Linked DNA regions of Caenorhabditis elegans. The protein of the gene in region 2 purifies or fractionates together with the protein of the main gene of each other region. This does not show direct contact. Each region holds a gene or a part of one and is shown on either strand. Other genes may lie near its edges. The genes, in order: F54C8.1 and K08B12.1.

The links.
Region 1: the proteins of K08B12.1 (region 2) and F54C8.1 fractionate together in Caenorhabditis elegans (co-fractionation; one large-scale study listed by BioGRID). This does not show direct contact.

The regions. Positions count from the first base shown.
Region 1 is NC_003281.10:9,437,765-9,441,622, reverse strand, and holds F54C8.1 (putative 3-hydroxyacyl-CoA dehydrogenase F54C8.1), read right to left. Parts: upstream 1,925-3,858; 5' UTR 1,875-1,924; intron 1,862-1,874; coding exon of another isoform or gene 1,767-1,861; intron 1,717-1,766; 5' UTR 1,714-1,716; coding exon 1,504-1,713; intron 1,458-1,503; coding exon 993-1,457; intron 948-992; coding exon 726-947; 3' UTR 681-725; downstream 1-680. Other genes in the region: emb-30 (Abnormal embryogenesis protein 30), read left to right, coding at 165-332, 378-541, 586-680, 1,767-1,861, 2,092-2,504, 2,563-2,814, 3,174-3,428, 3,490-3,604 and 1 more.
Region 2 is NC_003283.11:6,257,242-6,261,336, reverse strand, and holds K08B12.1 (Fungal lipase-type domain-containing protein), read right to left. Parts: upstream 1,971-4,095; 5' UTR 1,867-1,970; coding exon 1,618-1,866; intron 1,563-1,617; coding exon 1,137-1,562; intron 1,066-1,136; coding exon 616-1,065; 3' UTR 560-615; downstream 1-559. Other genes in the region: Serine/threonine-protein kinase mrck-1, read left to right, coding at 268-559, 2,159-2,356, 2,413-2,560, 3,275-3,307.

The DNA.
Region 1 (3,858 bases), on a different chromosome or scaffold from region 2:
GTGCACTACGCACATTATTCATATTGTTATAATTAATCAATTTTTATGAACTTTGTGATAATTCCATTTTGTGTGTTGTGTTCTTTCAAATTTCTAGGACTTGAATATTGAATACCTGTTCGAGCTACGGACCAGGCACCCCTACTATCGATTCTTCATTTCAGATGGACTTTTCAATAGTCAAAACTCAAATTCTCAATAATAGGCGGACATTCCGCACACCATTCAAAGTGTCGAGTATGTGTTTCAGTTCGCAAAATGATCTCATCGCTCTTGGATCGAAAACTGGCGAAATATTGTTGAAAAGAACATCATGGAAAATGATTTGGAAGGTAACAGGAAGATTTCAAAAATATTATCAAATCAGGATATTTCAGACCAATATCAATATGATTCAAGCTGTCGGAACCGAATGTAAATTGGACAGCTCTGTTTCTGCATTGCACTTTTCACCGGATGGACGCTTTCTCGCAGCAGCTACAAGTAAAGGCATAATACATTTGTTAGATGTGGAAACGGGAAAAGTTCGATTTTCAGTCAAGTAAGAGATCTATATAATAGTTCGAAATATCTATTGAAATTCAGAGCTGCATCCGAAAAAATCGCCAAACTCCACTGGAATTGTGTTCGTGAGAAGCCATTTATAAGCAATCTTGGAGAATTCACTACAAGAATCAAAAGTAAGAATGTTTTATTCTATCAAAAAACAGAAGTAATCTTTCCTATTATTTCTTGTACGAGTAGAATCCGTCACCAGTTTTTCTTCCAAGTTTTCCCTCGGCAACCAGCTTATCTACCAATGGACTTGCTTCGAATAGTTGTACTTCTGGATACTTTGCTGCCCATCCATCCATGACGAATTTGACCGTGTCGAGACCAATGTAGTCGGCCAGCTCGAATGGTCCCATTGGATGTCCTGCTCCCAACTTCATGGCTTCATCGATGTCCTGAAACGATATTTGGAGTTTTTAGAAAGCTGAAAATCAACATACGGTCATTGATGCATCTCCTCGTTCATACATTCTCGCTGCTTCGAAAAAGTATGGAATAAGCAGACGATTGACAATGAATCCAGGACTATCCTTACAAGCGACTGTTGTTTTTCCAACAGCTGTTCCAAACTTGATCAGCGTTGCATATGTTTCATCCGAAGTGTCATCAGATCGAATTACCTCGAGAAGCTTCATAACTGGCACCGGATTGAAGAAGTGGAGTCCTCCGAAGCGAGTTTTATCTTGCAATCCTTTGGCGACATCCTCAAGAAGGAACGATGAAGTGTTCGTGGTCAAAATCGAATCCTTCTTGCAAGACTGCTCGATTTGGGCAAAGATTCCCCGCTTCAAATCGATGTTCTCAATGGCGGCTTCGATGATCAGATCGGCATCAGCAACGGCGGTTGACACATTGTTACACGTTTTGATACGTGACATTGTGAGAGTCACGAAATCCGACTTTTCCTGGAAAAAACAAGAATGAGAATCTTCAAACAATTACGATATATACCTTATCAGTTCCTTTTTGCTTTTTTGAAAGATGCGTCACACTTTGACTAATTGCCTTCATCGCTCTATCAAGTGCTTTTTTATTAACATCGGCCAGCATCACATTGAATCCACTACTCGCCGTAACTTGAGCTATTCCCGATCCCATCTGCCCTGATCCAACGATCGCCACGTTTCTGATGTTTTGCATGGCACACTTTGCTGTGAACATCATCTGAAATTAATTCTAATTAGAGACTCCTTAATCAATATCGAAAATTTCAGATGTTGAAGCCATCGAAGGAGCTATCGAATTGGCAGAAACGACACCGAACATCAGTCAAGAGGAAATCGCATTCGTATACCAGAGGCTTGATGAGGTAAGAAACTAACCTTGATGATATGATCGACGTGTTTTGCAACAAACAATTGAGAGAAATAATTGATTTTTCAATCAAATTCGACCATATCAGATCTACTGACGTGGTATTTTCCGTGGAATTGTTTAATTAATTTCACATGAACTATTCGAAATTAAAATTTGAAAAAATCGACAGAATCTGACTTTTTTCAATGAAAAAAAAACTGTTCCTCAATAATTTTGTTTCAGGATGGTTCATCTTTCAAACACGAAGATGCACATAAAGAAAGTCTCGAGCGAACTCTGATTTCAACTGAAACATTCCGTGAATCTCTTCAAAATACGATCCTTCTAGCAACTGATGACATGGATTCGAAGATTATTGTACTTGTTGCTGGTGTGTTCCCATATATGGAAATTGATATCAGTGACACACTTCTACAATACAATCAAAGCCTTCTCATGCTCTACGATATGCACTACAGTTCAGCGTTTGGTGGCGTATCATTTCTCGCCACTACATATGGGCCATTTCTGGACTGCAAACAAAATGAGTTGAAGCCTCCTGGAGCTGAACCAAAAAAAGATGGCCAAGGATGTCATACGCTGCTTTTCAATGTTAAATTGAATATTAATTCGTCGCTTTGGGATACTGCGCTGAGGTAAGCTTTTGAATTTCTGCGATAAGCTCGAACAATTTACTTTTAAAAATAAATTTAGATACATTCGCCTTCTATTTGGCTTCAACTTGTACAGCATTTCTCTGGAAACTACAAAACGAAATTGGGAAGAGCAAATAGACAATCTTCACTCATTATTCGATACAAAAACGAAAGCTGTAAAAATTGGAAATGTGCTTCTCGAAATGCTGCTCTCCGGGTCGACAGATGCGGCTGGCGAGGCATTTCTTGAACGAGGTCTCGGAACTGATGGATTGGATAAAATTGAGCTTTTTGCAACGAAGCACATGCCGTATGTAATATTACCTGAAATGTTGCGATTTTTGGGTGAAGGTCTCGACACGACAATTTTTGTTAAATGCAAAGAGATGAGCGCCTTTAAAGAACACAGCGGAATTTTAATTGATTTTTTAAAAAGTTTTTCCTTAAGAAATTTTTTAATTAAAACAAAAAAATTTAAACAAATCATGAAAAAAACTTGAGCAAACCCGATATGTAAGTGTGATTACAGTACTCTTTAAAGGTACACACCATTTTCGCATTTAACAAAAACTCGTCGTTTCGAGACCCGTTACGGTAGTTTTGTCGTAAAAAGCGCAACATTTCGCAACTGGAATATATTATTTGTTACTAATTTTAATCGGTTTTCAGGGAAGTTTGTCGTATTGCTCGGGGACAACTCTCAACGTCAGCCCGAAATTTGTGCTTCCAGCGATGTGAATTCTCGACATCATTATCTCGTTATGCAAAGTTTATTCAATTGAAAGATGACGACAGTTTTCTTTATGATGAGGATCCGCCAGCATACCTGTCAGAATCGAATATTTGGCTGAACACTTTGGAAGAGAAAATCAATATTCTTGATATGAAAACTCGTCATCTTGGAATTCAATGCTTGACTATGATGTAAGAAATCTGACGATCTAGATGTAGACAATAATGATAATTTAAAAAAACCAAATTTCAGGCAAGAACTTGGACATCTCGTCAAATGGATATCCATGACAAAACCATTTGCAAAAACGATGAAAGTTAATGCTTTGATGAAAATAAAAAGAATGAACATTGCAAAAATTCTGCTTGTAAGCCATTTATATCCTTTACTTTTATACAGTACACTTTTTTCAGTACATTGTGAGAAATTTCATTCCGGATCCAGAAGCAGTGAAAGATATCGAAAACAGACTTTTCAACCTCAAGGAGTTGGTTTCGAAGCAAAAGAAAAAAGATTTGGAAGACAAGTTTGATGAGGTTGAATATCTCTATAGACTTGAGAGAATTGCCGAAGTTGAAAGGAAGAAATTAATCGAAACGTATGTTTTGTAACATGACTTCT
Region 2 (4,095 bases):
ATTACTGTATTTTCTAAATTGTACTGCGGAGGAATTTTCATGTTTTTCATAGTTTTCTCGATAAATATATGTTTTTTAACTCAAATGTAACAATAAAAACAAATAATTTTGAAAAAATCTTGAGCTATGAAACTATGAAAACTCGATTAAAATTTCGCAGCAACAAATATTTAAAATTACAGTACTCTTGAAAATTTGTCGCGTTGAGACCGGATACCGTATTTTTATTGCTAAGTTTTGCGCCTGGTTGCAATGAAATTTTTCCAGCTCTTGTCAACATGGAGGACACTTCACTGCAATTCCTCAACCAACAAACATCCTACGAGGCAAAATTGATTGTGAATGTACCAGGTTCTCCAGATGAATATCTCCTCGTGTTCAATATGATTGGTCTTTATGTCAACGAAATGGGCCGTCGATCTAGGCTACCAGAAGTGATGTTCCCGACACAGGCCAAATATTTCGCCTACCACGAGCCGTATTTATGTGTGTTCTCGGAGAATGAAGTCGACATTTTCAATGTGACCCTTGCTGAATGGGTTCAAACAATCAATTTGAGGTAAGATTTTATTAATATTATTATTCATATTATTAGAGAAATTATATAAATGTAAACTAAATAAGTTGGCCACGGGGGCAATGATTTCTCACAAAGTCATCCTGATCGACTTGGAAGTAACTTGTATGATCAGCCAAATTGCTCATGGCGGTGTTCCGACATCCAAGATCATCAGCTACGGAGCACACATTGAATCCATCTCCCTTTCCCATATTGTTATCATAATGCACCAGATATCGGTAATGCATTGCTTGTCTATTATATTGAGCTGCAGTAAGAACTGCTGGATTGAGTGGAGCTGGCATATTTGGAACTGGATCTCCACGCTTGATTACTCGATAACGGAATGGAATGTTCTCTTCGATTTCCTTGGCGTAAGCAATGTTTCCAGTACGTGGCTCACCGAACGTGATAAGGCGGATGCGATTTTTATCGACAGACTTCTTCTTGACAAGATGGAGCGCTGTCATGGAAGCAAGAGATCCTCCGAGAGAGTGCCCAGTCAACTGAAATTTATTTGATTTTTAAAAATTTAGAATCAACGAATAATCTCAATTTTAATCTTAAACTAGCTCACCCAAACTCTATAGTTTCTGTGTTTCTTCATCAAATCAACTAGATCATCTTCCATTCCACTATCAATGAAAAGTCTGTAGAATGCAGTATGGAAGTAATTGATTACTCCTGCATCCTGCGACTCAAATTTCTCCCATGCTCCAAGTTGAGCAGTCAATCCATGAAGCATCTCAGCGAAAACTTGCTTTCCTGCAGTACTTCCCTTGTAGGCAACGTACAGGGCCTTGGCTTCTTCGCTCTTTGCAATGATTCCCTTGCACAGATTTCCAGATCCATCACATTCAACTTCGTAGGATCGGGAAAATGAGATATCTGGGCGAACATTTCTCAGACATTCTGTCACATTGCTATCACGAACAGCTGTGGCGACGGCGAACAAGGATCTTCCCAAAGCGTCGGTGTACCGTTTTCCAGCTGTTGGTTTGTACTGAAATTTAAAAAAAACCTAGTCTGTCGTCATATGGTTTGCAAAAAAAACGTACTGGTGTTGGGCATTTGAAGGCATCTTTTTGGATAACTGGTTTTCCGATTGGGCAAGAAATCGGTCCACCACACGTGTTAGTCTCGAGGCACCATCGGCAGTCTTCTTTGAATCCAAGGATGTGAATATAGCTTTCCGCACAAGTCTTACAGTCTTGAATGTCCTTGCAAACTAGTACGTTGCCAGCTTGACCGAGTGAAATTGCCAATGTGGCAAAGGCCGCGAGAGCGAAGACCTCTCGAAACTTCATCAAGGAAGCAGGGAGAAAGAAGAAATTCGAAAATCGAACGTAAATATTGGAAGATCCGAGAAAGAAAAACAGGAGGCAAAGAAATTGGGTTGTTGGCCTAGTTTGATCCGTTTAGCGCGCGGTGAAAAGTGAAAATGATCATCACCTATATCATCTTGTGAATCCTTTCGCCTTCAGGATCATCATTAGTCTTATCGTGTGTATCTTATCAGTGTAGTTGTTGCCATGAAATTAAAGGGATAATTGTTAATTTAAATTTTAAAATATTGATAGTTGTATGTTAAAATTTCAGATCGGCAAAACCACTTTCTGGTGATGGAATTCTCTCAACATGCCTTTGCAATGACTCTCCAATATTCGTACTTCTTCAAAATGTGCTCCAAGATCAAGATTCAATAGAAGTTCCAGTGAATTTGGCATCTGGAAGCACTGATGGACGGAAAGTGACGCGACGGAAGTTCACCTTCCGAACAATCGGAAAAGATGATAGGTATACATCAACCGAACAACATTATTTTATGAACCAAAATGGTAGCTTAATTTCAGGAGTGCTTCGGAGCGTCGGAGTCACATACAAATCTCGACCCCATCGGATTTCATGCATATAGTTCATATGGGTCCCGCACCGGTCATGGAGCTACAACAAAATTTCATTGACTTGCAGTCGAATCATTCGCATACTTCATCCGATAAGGTGAGATTTCTTGTTAGATAATTAAAATGAAAAAATTCAATATTTTTACTAAAAATTCAAATTAATTGAAAATCAGTCAACGAAGGAGTCGCGAAAAAAATTGATTTTTTTTTGAAAATTTCCTAATTTTTTTGCAGTTTTTAAAAAAATTTCATATTATCATAAATAGGAAATATTAAATAGCTAAAAATTCAAATGTTTGTTTTTTTTTCATTTTCAAGAAAAGTACGTTTCAAAAAATTCAAATATTTTCAAAAATTTTCGTTTTCATTTTAAACTCAGATATTCCAGAAATATTATCAACTTATGATATTACGGGAACACAAATTTCCGAAAATGCATATTGCGCAACATATTTGACGTGCAAAATATCTCGAAGCGAAAACTACAGTAATACTTTACATGAGTACTGTAGCGTCGATTTACGTGTCATTGATTTATCGAACTAATATTAAAACAGTAACAAAAAACGATAAAATATTACGAAAAAAAACAGATGAAAATGGAATATCGCTGTCACTATTCGGGAATAAATTAATTTAAAAAATCGAGCCCGTAAATCGACACTTGCGCTACAGTAGTCATTTAAAAAACTACTGTAGTTTTCGCTAAAAGATATTTTGCCCGTAAAATAAGCTTTGCAATACGCATTCGCTGAGCTTTGTATTCCCGTGAAATATTAACATATCTCATTCCTAAAGCCAATTTTTTCAGGATTCACTGAACAGATCTGTAAATAACGACTAATTCTGCAACTCTCTCCTTCTCGTCTACATACTTATTTTTCTCCCAATTTCCAAAAAATCAAAACGATGTAAATCTGGTGCTATCTCCCTCTCTAGACATAACGCCTTCATATCTGGTGCCCTCCCCCTCATCCCCTCATCAACTTTGTACTTCTTGTGCGTTTTCTCTTTTTTTTCTCACTTCCGTAGAACAAGCATAATTTTAGAAATAATCCCCCTCCCCTGATCATCTATTTATTGACTGTCTCTTGTACTCATTGTGCACACTTCTCTATCCAAAGTCGTGACAATATTACCATTTTCTTTTTTTTTTAAATTTTCTTACGCTAATTTATTTCATTTTACATTTTTCACTCCTCTCTCATCATGTCTCATTTCAAAAATTGCTCTCTCTCTCTCTTTCTCAACGAAACGATTATTGCTATTCAAATTTTCGATTATTTTTTCAATAGAGAAAAATATATGTCTTGTCTTTTTTCTGTATAACTAAGATTTTTAAGATATTGCTTCAAAACCACCTTTTTTCTCAAATTTTCCGCCTTTTCGCTCGACATTCTGGTGTGTAATTGTGTGTCCGTTTTCTTTTTATGTGCTTAAACTCCTTTCAAAGTCTCACTGAGAGATAAAATCTGTTTTTTTAAGTTTGGAATTATTTCTCCTAGACATTCAGCTTCACAACACTTTCAGGTCTTTGAACATGCGAAAATTCAGTTTCAACTATTCATTCACATTATTCATTATTTTAGTGATCCTATGGGTTTTATTCACATCCGACAGGTCAACGGATTT